Saccharomyces cerevisiae S288C: one gene and its partner. The protein of the gene in region 2 interacts with the protein of the main gene of each other region in a pairwise test. Each region holds a gene or a part of one and is shown on either strand. Other genes may lie near its edges.

Region 1 (3,937 bases), on a different chromosome or scaffold from region 2:
TCACCTCTCGGTTTATCTCAGTAGTATTTAGAGTATTCTTCAAGTTCTGATGGGAATTTTCTCGCCATGCCTGAATTTCAGTTAATACGTGTTTAAGCTCCGAAATCCATGTATCAAAATTCACTGCAAAAAGGTTGTAATTTGATGGAGGAGATCAAGCTAGGTAACATATTCATTCGAGATGTCCACCTGCACCGAGTAGTCCTCTTTAAATCTTGGAAGAAAACACGTCAGCGATGCCAAGATGAGTGGGCTTCAAACCAAAACCAAAATTTCAACGTATAGGCCATTGTGCTCGATGATGAAGGGACTGCAAAAATATCGGTGGTTTAAGATAAGCAATTGTAAGATATAGAAGAAAAGCTGACGAAAAAAGAACTCATACCTTACTCCAAAATGGACACTGACATATTCTCCCATTCGGTGGATTTGAAATCCTCAGTGGATAGATAGGCAGAGTTGAGCCAATTTGCCTAGGGAGTTGATTACCGTTAATCCTGCTTGAAAGCAGCATATTAAACCTTCCCCGAAGTTTGCCATAGGACCGTATGACGCATCCTGGACTTCATCCCATCACTGTGCTGGGACTTGAAAATAAATGTTTCGCCCGTGGTAAAAAGTGTGTGGGAATAAGGTAGCCCTCTACTTCTTAGCATACTCAAAAAGAGATGCTAATAGTCAATCTACGGCCTGATTCAGGACTGCCTCACGGAAAATTACATCGCTTCGGGATTCGTGATCATCTGGCTAGAGTTTCTTGATATGTATCTCTGAGCGATATGGCTATTTACTAAGCAGTTGCCACCTTTGAGAGTAGTTGCCAACATGGACAGCAAATTTGCAGAAATAGGAAAGGACGCCACGGTACTCCCTAACCGACTACAAACTCATCTTTTCCGGAATGAAATGGTATTACCACCGAAGACGTCATTGCTGATCACATAAACAAGATTCAAGAGCGTGGTTACGTCTCAGAACCGACGATCCTCGTGAGGCTTGCTTGGCGCAGGGCTTCAATTCCATTATTTTGCGGAATCTTCTACGAAGCCCTTCCAGCATAGAGAAATGAGACAAAACCTCACAGGATTTACGAAGACCACTGCATGTAGGGCTGATATTGTGAAGGACACTTCCTAAAGGTTAGAACTAGTAGCATAAAACGAATAGATACAAGATTATCCTATTATAAATACGTGTTCGCACCGTAGTATCCATATAACGGCATTTTGCAACCATTCACATAAGATAGACTGTTCCGCTTCATCGCATAGTCGGCCACACTGCATATGTGTATTTTGAGCGCTAGGCGTCAGTGTACTACGCCCTACAATAAGTTGTAGTCACAGAAGCGCGCGCGCGGGCACATGAGTGCATGATGACAGGCTCCTTCACTGGCATAACAATAGCGCACAGATCCGCAGGTTTCGTAATACGCTTAACAATAGGCGTCTCCTGCTGGTTGCCTTATTAATTTATATGGAAGACGAGATAATTCATTAATTAGTCTACTCGACTAGATGAAATAGCTTTTTCTGGTAGTTGCACAGAAAGAAGGAAGACAATAGATAAAAGAATGTGGACGAATATTTTGCATTCGCTATCATAATAGAATTCATTTCTTCTCTTTTTTCTTCTCTTTTTTCTTTCCATTTTTTATATATGAGAGCTGTAATTTCAATGTTGCCAAGAGCGTGTACCATGTTATTTTCCACTGTAGAACTTGTATCATCATCTATTGCTCTCATATCTGATATACTATCAAGCAAAAAAAACTCTAGCATTACACCATTATGAGTTTCGGTACGAGAATCTCCAGGGCTTTGAGATTTTTGGAAATTCCTGTTAAAAATAGGGCCTCCGTGAATTTTTTAAGGAACCCTGATTTGCAACCTATCAAGTCTGTTAATCAAACGTGGGGGTTTTGGTCTAATTTTGCGTATTGGGGTGTTCTGTCCTTCAACGTTGGTATGTGGATAGGCGGTTCGTCTGCATTAACTGTTGGGTTAAGTTACTCAGAGACCATCGGTGCGTTTATTATTGCTGATTTGTTGACCATCCTGTTTGCTTTAGCCAACTCTTGTCCTGGCTATGACTGGAAGGTCGGCTTCACTCTAGCTCAAAGATTCGTCTTTGGGATTTACGGTTCAGCTCTTGGTATCATTATCAGAATATTGATGAGTATTGTCTATTATGGTTCCAACGCTTGGTTAGGTGGGCTTTGTGTAAACATGATATTAGATTCTTGGTCTCACCACTATTTGCATCTGCCCAATACTTTGTCCTCGAAAGTTGCCATGACCACCAAGGAATTGATCGGCTTCATTATCTTCCATATCCTTACCGCGTTCTGTTACTTTATGAAGCCATACCATATGAACTATATTTTAATTTGGTCGTGTGTTGGTACTTTCTTCGCCATGTTGGGTATGGTAATTTACTTAACTAAGAGCGCACATGGTGTTGGTGACTTGTTCACTTCTACTCATTCCACAGTTACTGGCTCTAAAAAGGCTTGGGCTTGGGTTTATACGATCTCGTACTGGTACGGTTCTGTTTCTCCAGGCTGTACCAATCAAAGTGACTTCTCCAGATTTGGTTCCTCTAATTGCGCTATCTGGACTGGTACTATAGTTGCTTTACTAATACCAGCAACCTTGATCCCAGTATTCGGTATCATTGGTGCTTCTGCTTGTGAAAAATTATACGGTCAAACATTTTGGATGCCTATGGACATCTTTGACAACTGGTTGACAACTAACTATTCTGCAGGCGCGCGTGCAGCTACATTCTTCTGTGGTTTTTGTTTTGTAATGTCTCAAATTTCATATACCATCTCCAACTGTGGGTTTGCCAGTGGTATGGATTTGGCTGGTTTATTACCGAAATATGTTGATATTAAGAGAGGTGCTATTTTTGCCGCATGCGTCTCCTGGGCCTGTTTGCCATGGAACTTTTACAACTCTTCTTCTACTTTCTTGACTGTTATGAGCTCTTTCGGTGTCGTAATGACACCTATTATCACTGTCATGATCTGTGATAATTTCCTCATCAGGAAGAGACAATACTCCGTTACCAATGCCTTTGTTCTAAAGGGTGAATACTATTTTACCAAGGGTGTCAACTGGAGAGCTATCGTTGCCTGGGTGTGTGGTATGGCTCCCGGTCTACCTGGTATCGCTTGGGAAGTCAATAATGACTATTTCCACAACACTGGTATTATAAATTTTTTCTATGGTGATTCTTTCTTCTCCTTTTTGATTTCCTTTTTCGTCTATTGGGGACTATGCCTCCTCTTCCCATTCAAAATTACTGTCAAACATGATGACAAAGATTACTACGGTGCGTTTACCGACGAAGAAGCAAGGAAGAAGGGCATGGTTCCATACAGTGAAATTTCTGAAGAAGAAATCCGTGCTTACACATTAGGCGAATGCTTCACAAGTGGACACGAATACAAACCTGAGAGCTCCGATGATGAACTACCTGAGTTGACAAAAACTAGTTCAGAAAACACAAAAGTGTTTGAAATTGTTCATCAGAAAGATAATGAAAAGGAATCCTCTACTTCCAGTGAAAAACAAATTGCCTAATGAGCAAAAAACCTAATAAAATGATCATACTTAGTGTTCATTCAAGATCTTTCGCTAGTATTAAAATTCGAGATAATTAAACACACTCTTTAGTCCCAGGAAACACTACTATTAAGCTTGTTGGTCGTACAGGATATAGAGGTCATTTCGATTATTTCATTCTTCCACTAATGTTTGATTGACGATTCAGATCACTGTTTTTGTTTGGCTGATAATTGTAACAAGAAAAAAAAACTACCGCTTCTTTTCAGTATTTCTGTTGAGGATGATATTTTCATTGATTCTCTTATCAGCTTCAGTGCCGATATCCTATCAGGCTCTAGTAGGGCTGAAAATTAGGTGGAGGC
Region 2 (3,551 bases):
ACATCATTAAACTTTCCAGCGACGATACCATCTTGTGTCCATGCTTAGACCCTCTAGAGTGAACAAATTTTTGGATTCGCATTTTCCTATAAAGCTCTACCTGGGACTGCAAATTTAATATAAAATGCCTCAATGATTCTTTAAAACAAAGCTCTCATAACTCGACAAACGCTTTCAGATGGTTTGTCTAAATATTTCTACGTATTGATTTTTAAGAAGTACATCTATAGTCATGATATCTTCTAGTACGTTATTATAAAGCTGGATTTGTGACAAGAACAGCAGTGTACTGTCTTAGAGGGAATCCATTACTAGTGGGAACTGTAAAAAATATTTTTACAATGTGGCAAAATGAGACCATAAAACTCATAATGTAATTGGAACTTTGAATAGCGGCGGTACGTTTGTTGGGGTTTGCAATACAGAATTTCATAAAGTTTTCAACATATTGTCTGATTAACAACAGAAGCCTCGTTTGAAACTGCTGGATTGTAATCAATACAGTAAAATAATTGTAAAAAGTAGTCTCGTTTTGGTTATTCGCAGCTGACAAACTACAAAATATATAAATTGAAAAAGTTGTATTTATCTCTACACTAAGAGCACCTCACTGCGGGATAATTGCGCTTCTTTAATGTATGGCCATAGTTCCACATTCAATGGTAAAGGCCACATAGATTTCTTCGCAGATAGAACGCGGTAGAAGAAGTGGTTAAAAAACCATTCACAGTCAATCCCGTCGAAGAAAAACTCTTCATTCTTCCAGGCTTTTTTCTCAAACAAGTACCTATTCATTTTCCTTGCAATTTCGTCCCATCCATTCGCACCACTTTCTTGCTCATTTATAATAGTCGACAAGAACTGCATCTTGTGTTCCATGCTCATAATCAAAACCCTTATATTTTGGAAACCTTGTACCAACATGAAAAGAATCCACCCGAGATACAAGGTGCGTAATAGAAGGCACATTCCCCGTGACACATATATGCAGCACAAAAAATTAAGGAATGGTATCAACATAAAAATATTGGAAATCCTCTTTAAAAACCAAGTAAGCTTAAATCGGTAAGCTTCCTTGGGAAGTTTAGCATCTTCCAGGCCAACAGGGCTCCATGATTTTTCAGTATTAAACAATTTCCATTGTTTTTCAACTTCTGTAAAATAAACTCCCAATGCTTCTTCAATGTAAGGGACGGAATCCTTAAATGACTTAACCTTGGCAGCTTTATCTTTTTTCAAAGAAAATGGTTCGAGAAGGGTTGTTCTGAACGCTTCTTGACAGACCATGGCATTGAAAAAAAAGTACTTAGTATTCCAAACGTTATTTTCATATAAGTACGAATTTAGATTTGCTGCAACAACTTCCCAATCATGAGGATCAGAACTTGGTGTGTTTTCAGTAATCTCTTTGCAAAACTGAATGAGTTGTTTCGATAAGGAACGCTTACGAGAAAGTCCACAAATAACAAGGACAAATATTGGTCCCAGAAACAGGACCAGAAGTGAAACTATAAGTGGGTAAATACAATTGTTGGAAAGTTTCCACCAGACGCTAAGTGGTAGCCATAATAGCATCCAGATGCGAAACGCTAAGGACTTGTAAATTTCATAACAAAACCAGGTAAAGCTGCTTCTGAAAAGATCTTGAGGTAGAACAATCTTTTGGGATTCGAGCTGTTTGAAGGATAATACATCTACACTCTTCTCATTTTTAAGTTCATTCTCTTTCATTTTCGGTAGTGAGATGGCAGTTCGAGGGGTTTTTTATTCGAGATAGTAACTTCTGGCTTTTCGCTTTTATACAGCACAGCAGAAAAAAAAAGCCGCCGAGGCGCGCGCGTTCATGCAATGGCTCAGTAACCTCGTGATAGAAAAAGGGCAACAATATTGGGCTATTTTAGGCAAAGAAACTCAGCTATTCGAAAAGGGCATCCATTACATTTCCGGTTTTCTATCTAGCCAACTCGATAATCGTAATAACGAATTTACAAAACTTTAATGCGGGTACATCACGGTGTGCCGTAACGTTGGTTCACATTTAGGGTGCGACCAGCAATGTCACTGCTCGTACAGCGGTTACCGCTTGAATGAAATACATATTTTAAGCGTAGATTTCCTGTGACAAAACTGTGTAAACATCTAGTAGAAAATAGACGTAGCTGTCACAAATATTTACACAGGAAAGAGTCTGTCCTACGTATCTGACATGAAGATTCATAGAACCAAGTTACTTCCCAATGTGGACAACCTTTCGATACCATGTCAATAGCTTCCCCTTATGTTCGGTGTCACTGTAAAACGGATCAAAGCAAAACCTAGAGGTACGGTGGTACTCAGATCATGCATGACCTCTGGGTAATTAGCACTTCTCCCGCTTGTTTTGAGATTCTGTATATAAATATTGCAAACAAAAGGATAGAGCGCGGATGGCAGCCCTTACAGTAAAAATTATTCGTTTTAATCATGCGTCAGTGTGAGATTCTATGACAATAGTATAAGATGGGGTGAAGTAAAAGCGTCTGTATGACTATAGAGTACAGTTATATTACAATATATGGAATAGAGCATAGTGGTATGACGATATTAAGGAACTTTAAGTTAATGATACCATGATAGTATTAAGACGCAATTAAGTGTGTTTATGTATTATGGTTGAAGGATAGAATATTTTTATGTTTAGGTGATTTTAGTGGTGATTTTTTTGTAATATTGGCATAAGTGTATATAAATTGAGTGGTTAGTATACGGTGTAAAAGTGGTATAACGTATGTATTAAGAGCTGTTATACAATACTTGGGGCCGCCGAATGAGATATAGATATTAAAATGTGGATAATCGTGGGAGTTATGCGTAAATGGCACAGGGTATAGACCGCTGAGGCAAGTGCCGTGAATAATGATGTGAGTGCATTTGGTACTGATTTAGTGAGAATGGGGCCATGGTGTGGAATATGAAAGTAGGGTAAGTTTGAGATGGTATATACTGTAGCATCCGTGTGCGTATGACATATCAGTAGAAGTGAAGGTGAGTGTGGCAAGTGGCGGTGGTGGTAGTGGTGGTATAGAGTGGTAGGGTAAGTATGTATGTATTATTTACGATCATTTGTTAACGTTTCAATATGGAGGGTAGAACAACAGTACAGTGAGTAGGACATGGTGGATGGTAGGGTAATAGTAGGGTAAGTGGTAGTGGAGTTGGATATGGGTAATTGGAGGGTAACGGTTATGGTGGACGGTGGTTAGTGGTAAGTAGAGAGATGATGGATGGTGGTTGGGAGTGGTATGGTTGAATGAGACAGGGTAACGAGTGGGGAGGTAGGGTAATGGAGGGTAGGTTTGGAGACAGGTTCATCAGGGTTAGAATAGGGTACTGTTAGGATTGTGTTAGGGTGTGTGGGTGTGGTGTGTGGGTGTGGGTGTGGTGTGTGGGTGTGGGTGTATATATATGTCACTGTATTGCATGCTGGATGGTGTTAGACAAGGCCGTAGGGACATATAGCATCTAGGAAGTAACCTTGTACGAAAATAGGCAATATTTCCTGTTTAGGCGAT

What was found.
Region 1: the proteins of COS3 (region 2) and THI72 interact in a protein complementation assay, tested with the Saccharomyces cerevisiae proteins (one large-scale study listed by BioGRID).

What each region holds. Positions count from the first base shown.
Region 1 is NC_001147.6:698,421-702,357, reverse strand, and holds THI72 (thiamine transporter), read left to right. Parts: upstream 1-1,790; coding exon 1,791-3,590; downstream 3,591-3,937. UniProt on the Saccharomyces cerevisiae protein: Low affinity thiamine transporter responsible for intake of thiamine. It is possible that the primary function is the uptake of closely related compounds and that thiamine transport is a secondary activity of these proteins.
Region 2 is NC_001145.3:5,424-8,974, reverse strand, and holds COS3 (Cos3p), read right to left. Parts: upstream 1,732-3,551; coding exon 592-1,731; downstream 1-591.